2 linked regions of the Rattus norvegicus genome follow. The protein of the gene in region 1 interacts with the protein of each later gene in a pairwise test. Links are inferred from orthologs where the notes say so. Each region holds a gene or a part of one and is shown in the gene's direction. Other genes may lie near its edges.

Region 1 (3,500 bases):
CACTGAGCTAAATCCCCAGCCCCAACCCCACTTTTCTAAAATTGAAATATTGCTGCTTTCGTATTTTGTTCTGATTTGTTTTTGAGACAGACCGTAGAGTGTAACTGTATAGTCCTGGCTTTTGTTCCAATTTGTTTTTGAGACAGACTGTAGAGTGTAACTGTATTGTCCTGGCTTTTGTTCCAATTTGTTTTTGAGACAGACTGTAGAGTGTAACTCTGTAGTCCTGGCTGGCCTGGAACTCTTTACCTAGACCAGTCTGGCCTTGAACTCACAGATAACCTCCTGCTTCTGACTCCTGAGTGCTATAATTGAGGGCAGGATCCACCATGCTTGACCTTACGTATTTCTAATCTTGTAAATTGTTCTTTTGATAAGCTCACCTCTTCCAAAACTCTAACACAGAAAGTTCTCTCATTGAGAATTTGTAGTGGATCCATCTTTGTTCCTCTGAGCCCTTCCATCTTTAGCTCTCTTCCTGTGGATATCTATGCTGCCCATTTCCTGGCTTTTGCACATGCTCAGATCAACGTCTTACCCTTACTCTCATCTTAACGGGGAATAGCTTTACAGTCTTCACATGTTACTTTTCTTTCTCAGGACTGAGTTTATTGCTGTTTATTTAATCTCAGGAGAAGTTGATTATTAACAACTAGGAAATTAGATATATTTACATTTGACTTATAGTTCATTGTGTATTTATTATATAACTTGAGTTTATTACATTTTTATTAGTTTATTGAGAAGTGGTTTGCTATAAAGTTAATAGTATTGCCTTTGTGCCTTTTAAATGTTGGATTTCTTTCAGTAACCTATATTATACAAAATTCTACTATGGTTAATAAAGATACGATTCAGTGATAACATTTGTCAGCATTTTGTCCTGTTATCTGAAGACACTTGCTAAGAGTATGTGACCTCTTTAGGAACAAAAAGTTGTATTTGTTCTTATATGCCTCAACGTTCTTCATGATACAAATCAATCCATATTATTCTAGAATAACTATAGTCTCAGACCACTAAAGGGTTTTTTTATTGTTTGTTTGCTTGCTTGCTTTTTGTCTTTGGTTTTTTTGTTTGTTTGTTTGGTTGGTTGGTTTTGTTTTTTGAAACAGGGTTTCTCTGTATAGGCCTGGCTGTCCTAGAATTTGCTTTGTAGACCAAGCTGGCCTCATACACAGAGGTCCACCTGCCTCTTGAATGTTGGGATTAAAGGCATGCACCACCACACCTGGCTTGAGTTTTTAATTTGTAAAATTATGTCTGTATAGAACCTATGAAGGAATCTTGGCACTCAGCCCAAGATTTATTTCCTTTTTCCCCCTTAGGATTTAGACAGAGCCCTACACTATCTAAGCATTTTTGGTCAAATGGCTGTGGTAAATTAATACACTGTTTTATAAGCCTGAGTCTCTCAAGTTTGTTTCCCAGAAAAGGGTGGGGTGGAGATGGCTTGTGGACACTGTGGCATGTCCCACTCAATGCTTGGCCAAGAGCCCACTGTAGGGATAACAGTGCTAACTCTGCCTTCCTCCTTTTCAGAAGAGTTACAATAGAAACAGCCCTTGCTTTCCATCAGAAGGGAAAAACCAAATGAGAAAGGAGACAAAAGGAGGAACCAAATTTATAGATACAGTTAATTTTTCTATGTGGGAGATGGGAAAGTATTACAAAACTATGAACATAAAACTCAGACTAGGTCCTGGAAGAATGGCTCAGTGGTTCAGCGCTCTTCTGAAGGTCTTGAGTTCAATTCCCAGCGGCCACAAGGCTGCTCACCACTGTGTAAATCTGTTTTCTAGTGTAAAGATGCAGACAAAAGTCCCCAAATATACACATACTCCATTAAAACAGACTCAGATGAACTGGACAGATCAAGCACACGAAACATGGACTTTAGATAACTGTGCAGTATATGATTAGAAAAAACTAATGCAATAAAGGTGGACAGCCTGGTGCAGTACAGGTGTATGCTGTGGGTGACCTGGACACCAGAGTCTGGTTGAAAGGGCATCACTGATCATAGCCCCAAGCAACGTGGGCAGGGGTGCTACATTCTGCCTAAGGTGTGGTTTTTTCAATAGGAGGCAAGGAGTCAGCCTTACAGTTAGAGTATTAGAAGGACATGAGGCAATTGGCTAGAATTAGTCACTTCTGCCACCCAGGAAGCTCGTGGCCTTTAACAGTGCTTCTAACAGTGCAGATTCGGGATCAAGTTAGTATGTGAAGTTGGAAGAAGCCTCATATGGAGAGTTAGCGTTTTCCCCGAGTACCCAGAGACACTTGTTAAGACTATGTGACCTCCTTGGGAAACAAATAGCTGTATTTGTTCTTACATACCTCAAAGCTCTTCGTGACACATGGATACTCAGTTGATATTTATCTATATTATCCAGAGTAACTGTAGTCCCAGAGCATTAGATCCTCTGGAACTAGAGTTCTGAATGGTTGTGAACCATCATGCAGTGTTGGGGACTGAACCTGGCTCTTCTTGTAAGATCAACAAGTGCTCTCACTGCTAAGTGTTTCTCCAGCTCTGGGTGTGGAAGCTCTTAGAAGAGGGAGGAGTTCTGAGCTTACACAGTGGTTTTGTACCACTGTGAAAAGAGGAAAACCATCAAATTGTATACTTAGTAAAGGTGAATATTTTGGTATGTAAATCTCATTTCAAAATTGCTGCAAAAATATTTAAAACCTAGACTAGAAATATGACTCAGTGGTAAAATATTTGCTTTGTATATGTGAGGAAGGGCCTGGACTATCTCCAGCACTGATAAAATAATTAAAAAAACAATAACATTATTACTTAGAACAGCCTTGTTTTAAATTGGCAGTGGTATTAAAAAAGTACTGATGGTGGTTATATAGCTATGTGTTTTTAGGCCCCCATGATTACTGTGTTATTAGTGTTACTATACAAACTATTCTGTAACCAATAATCCCATGTGCTTTCTTCTGTTGTAAAGGATTTGTATAAGTCCTTAAAAATACTGTCTGCAGAACTGATACCTTGGCATAATTTAAAGAAACCGAATGAAAATGAAGGTGTCAAAGTAGGAGATCTGTTGTTAATGGTAGATACCATGTTGGAAGAAGTTGAAAACCAGAAAGAGGTAACATTTGATACTTATATAATTGCTCTCATTTTAAAGGTTTATATTAACTACTTATTATTATTTCAACTTGTAAACTACCCTTTTGACCTTCTTTGTATAGACCAGCAGCATGCCAAACTCTCAAACTTTGCAAGCTATTGTTTCTCACTTCCAAAAGCTGTTTGATGTGCAGTCTTTAAATGGAGTCTATCCTCGAATGAATGAAGTGTACGCCAGGCTTGGAGAAATGAACAACGCTGTAAGAAACCTTCAGGAGCTCCTGGGATTAGGTGATGACCCTTTGTCAGTTGGGGCATTGATTTAAGAATTATTCCTGGGGCTGGGGATTTAGCTCAGTGGTAGAGCGCTTACCTAGGAAGCGCAAGGCCCTGGGTTCGGTCCCCG
Region 2 (4,190 bases), on another chromosome or scaffold:
AAGAGCTGAGTCAAGGTCGCCCCACAGATGTGGTAAGCAAAGACCCGTACTGTAGATGGAGTCATCTATCCCAAGGCTGAGGCAGGAGCAGCTGACAGAGTTCAAGGTTAACCTGAATAACTCTAATAGACCTGATCAGAAACCAAAGCACATCAAGGCTGGGGCCACAGCGCGGTGGTAGAGCATTGCCTAGCACACACAGGGCTGGGAGTAGACATCAAACTGGTTAAAGTCGCCCCTTTGCCTTGAATTGCATTGGTTTTTGTTCTTGAATGTGGATTTGCATTAACAATTACTGTCTTGCTTCAACCGTGAACTTCTTGAAGGCAGGGGCTTCTGCACTTAGCTTGGCAGCGGAGTCAAGGAAGGGCTGCTGGATTAAGTGGTGGGACAGTTTGTACTCTACACTCACAGATACGCTGCCCTGCGATGTCCTTTTCATGCGAATGGGATGTGCCCAAGCTTTGATATGACTCACTATTTAATAAGCATACCAGAATTTATACATCCAAACGAGGGCTGCAATCCTTCAAAGTCTTCCCTTTGTAAGACGGGATTCTCAGTCCCATGATGCTGGCATTTCCGCAGACTCTTTAGATCCCCTCTCTTAGGTACAACCCTGGCATTTATAACACTTACTTTTCAACGTCTCCCAGGCTATCCTTCCCTCATTTATTACCTCCATCTCCATCTTGAGTTGTTCGTGCTGGGTAAACGCTAAGATAGATCTGGAGAGTTGCCGCCTTCCAGAGTTTGTTTCACCAGATCAGACTGGGAGAGCCACGGCAATAAAAATTTAATGATAGTGCTTCAGAGATTGTTTGATTTGGGGGGAATAGCAAAGGCTTTTCTTTGATTTTAAGTTTCCCAAAGTGAAGAGGTGAGTGCCGGAGCGAGGTAGTAACTAATTGCTTTAAGCCAAATGGTTCTAAGACTCCTAGCCCGAGCCCACGTGTTTCTTCTAAATTGATCTGACGTACTTCTTTGAAACTCAGACTTCTAACTTCATGGCCAAGCTGTCCCGGACCCTGGGTCATCAGCAGCTAAGTTCCAGCTCTCTGTGAACCACTGCTGGGACCCACTCTTTATTATTGTCCCAGCATCCGGTGGACCTATTCACAGGATAAAGATTCATGGAGTTACAACAGAGTCCATGACGGGTCTCCCCTTTCTTCCCTGCTTTCTGAGAAGTGACAGTTCTGCAGATCCCAAGGGACAAGGAAAGAACTGAAAGGCTGATGTTGGAGAGGGCTGGAGAGGGAAAGCGGTGGCGGATCTGGGAGCAGAGCCGGGAGTTCCTGCTTCCTGCTCCCGGAGCGAGTGTCCTCCGTAGCAGCCTCGGGGAAGGGAACAGCCCTTCCTGCTCCGGTCCGCGTACTCCAGGAGCACAGCGAGGCGCGCCCCACCCCGGCGGAGGGGACGGTTTTTAGCAGGAGGTGGTGGAGGGATTCAATGCCACTCGGGGATGTGGGAAGCTGGAGGTGAGCGGGAAATCCGTAGATCACAGTCAAGGCGTGTGGGCACGAGTGGCCAGAGGCGCCGAGGGGTCCGCGGGGTTCTCGGGTGTCTCCGTCGTGCCCCGTCCCGTGGTCGCCCGCGGTCCCCCGGGCTCCGCCCAGCCGCGGAGCCCAGCCTCTCTCAGGCCGGGTCTCCTCCCTAAGGTGCGGGTGGCAGCGCCACTCCCTCCGCTCCCTCCCCAGCCGCGCGCGTCTCATTCCAGCGCCCATTCCGCGCATTCCTACCGGGCTCCTCTGCAAACTCCGGCCCCGGGGGTGGGGACCGCCTCAGCTACACGCTCGGGCCCCGAAGCCGTCGCCGCGGCTGGAAGACTTGGCCCCCCGCGTGGACTTGGTGCAGCCGGCCGAGCGCTCCCACCCCGCCTCCTGAACCCTGGGACCGGTAAGGCTGCTGAGTTCGGGCGACATCCGCGTCCTGCATGGTCTCGGGCAGCACTAGGGGACCAGTGGGGCACGTGGGGGCGGCGGAGTCCAGAGACTGGACAGAGCAAGGTCGCCTGGCAGAAGTTTTAGAAGTTGGAGACTGATGAGCCTCAGTCAGGCCCTTTTCTACTTTTCAGCCTGGAGAAGGGAGCACAGAAGGGAGGTGTGTTGCTTGGACCTTCTGCAGAGGTCCTCAGGGTTTGAGACGCCGTGGGCCCTATGGGTGAGAAGTGATGGACCATTGCTCCCAAACTCCAAGGCACTCTACTCTAGCAGGCAGCCCAGGGGCGCGCCGCGGTGCACACACGTGTCAGGGGGCTCCAGGCACACCCACATCCATCCCACTCAGTGAGTTCAAGCGAGGTATTACTTACCTGCGCCAGCATCCTTAAGTTTTGGGTGTACCTGAGGAAGAGATATCTGCGCGCTGTGACTCACCTTGCTTTCAGGAGGTGTATTTGTTTGTGCTAAACAATGCGACAGTGAGTGCATTGCTACTTGAAGAGGGTGCTGTCTGAAACCCTAAGTGTCCGGGTGGGTGTGTGATGCCTCCTCTCCAACACCCCTCGTCGCTCTGAGGATGTTGGTTCTGGCTCTGACTTCTTGCAGAACCGGAGCAGGGGACAATGTCTCCAAGTTCTTTGTGTTCAGGGAGAATTTGACAGTAGTAGTTGGAAGTGTCCCCTCCCGGCCCTCCCGCCCCCCACTCCTCACCCCAGCTCTGCTGGGTTGAGCTTTGCTGGCAGGAAGCTGCCTACACCTGCCCCCCTTCCAGGCAGCTGTCTTTCTGAGGGAGTGTGGATCCTGTTCTGGCGGAATCCTTTAGGGAACTGCTGGTAGGCTAAGCAAAGCTGAGATCTTTGCCCCCAGGGGCTAGGATGGGTTGTTGGTAACGTTTATGGGGGTGGACCCTCTAAAAGGAAAGGAGCTTGTTAGGTTGTTTTCTTTTGAGACAGAAGTCTCTTGTAGTCTAGGCTGGCCTGGTCCTACTACCCCAGCAGGAGGTGGCTTTCATTCTCCTGCCTCAAAAAAAAAAAAAAAAAAAATTACAGACTGGAGTCCGTAGGCTTAGCTGACCACATGGGTTGTTGGATAGTGTTTGTTGGGCGGTTGATAGAGTTTCAAAGTTGCCTTCAAGGACAGGGGTGTTAGTGTTCTCTCTGTAGGAACCTTGAAGCAATGAGGAGAAGAAAATCTCTCATTCCTGAATAGCCAGGGTCTTGCTCTGAAACCCAAGCTGGGTTCAAACTGGATATCCTCTGCCTCAGCTTCCCCCTCATTCTTCACAGTTAGCTAGATGACCTTGTTTCTGTGGGGAAACTTGATAGCTCACTGTAGGAAAGCTTTAGTGACAGGAAGGTGAGGGCTGCCTCCGACTTGGTAGCTGAGTCCAGGATCTTGACAGGACGGTGGTGTGAGAGTCACAGACTTGGCATCAGGGTTCTCCCTCATTAACACAACACAAAAGTGATGGCTGTGGTTTCTCGGAAGGAAGGAACAGAGAACCATGTCAGGAGTGAGGGGGAGGGGCTCTTGTGTTTATCTTTCCTTCTCTCCTGCTGATGTAGATAGTCAGCTGGGACATACCTCATATTCCATACTGCTCAGGCCGTGTCCACAAGGGCAGCTCTCATGGGGTAGGGAACACACAGGTGTGGGGTCAGACAGACCTGGACATGAATCTTGATACTCACTACCTTTAAGGCTCTTGGGCTCCGTTTCCTGATGAGTAACATTGCGGGGTGGGAATGAGGGGTGAGTAACTAAAGCCAGTGCAGAAAGCTTGCTCTGAAAATTCAGTGTCTCTAAAGCGTCTGTTAGCACATCCCAGGGCCCTTGGAAATGGTGTATCCTATGTTTTCCTAAGCTTGCTTTGGCAACCCCCTCCCCCTTCCCCTTCATTCCAGGGCCCTTGGAAATGGTGTATCCTATGTTTTCCTAAGCTTGCTTTGGCAACCCCCTCCCTCTTCCCCTTTTCATGTTGAGGATTGGACCTGGAGTCTTGTAACATGTGAGACTAGAGGATTTTGTGTGATTATTCTCTGGGCACCCTTTGGGCAACCTCACCACGTATCATATTTATTTTGCCAACATGAATTGGGCATTTTCTGTGGGTCCCGTGCCATGGGGAGGCTTCCACCAGATAACATAATTCTCTAGCTCCCATATTCTCATTTCTACTTTTGCCTGCTCTCAGGACATTTGCTGAGCACTGTAGGATCCTCAGTCAAAGTCCAGGCCCAGGGTGGG

Evidence for each region. The genes of interacting proteins can lie anywhere in the genome.
Region 2: the proteins of Cep70 (region 1) and Tead4 interact in a two-hybrid assay, tested with the Homo sapiens proteins (2 studies listed by BioGRID). The two-hybrid records come from large-scale screens. The link is inferred for Rattus norvegicus from reciprocal best matches to the Homo sapiens genes CEP70 and TEAD4.

What each region holds. Positions count from the first base shown.
Region 1 is NC_086026.1:108,734,707-108,738,206, forward strand, and holds part of Cep70 (centrosomal protein of 70 kDa), read left to right. Parts: intron 1-2,966; coding exon 2,967-3,113; intron 3,114-3,216; coding exon 3,217-3,385; intron 3,386-3,500.
Region 2 is NC_086022.1:163,255,543-163,259,732, reverse strand, and holds the start of Tead4 (TEA domain transcription factor 4), read left to right. Parts: upstream 1-1,390; 5' UTR 1,391-1,899; intron 1,900-4,190. UniProt on the Homo sapiens protein: Transcription factor which plays a key role in the Hippo signaling pathway, a pathway involved in organ size control and tumor suppression by restricting proliferation and promoting apoptosis.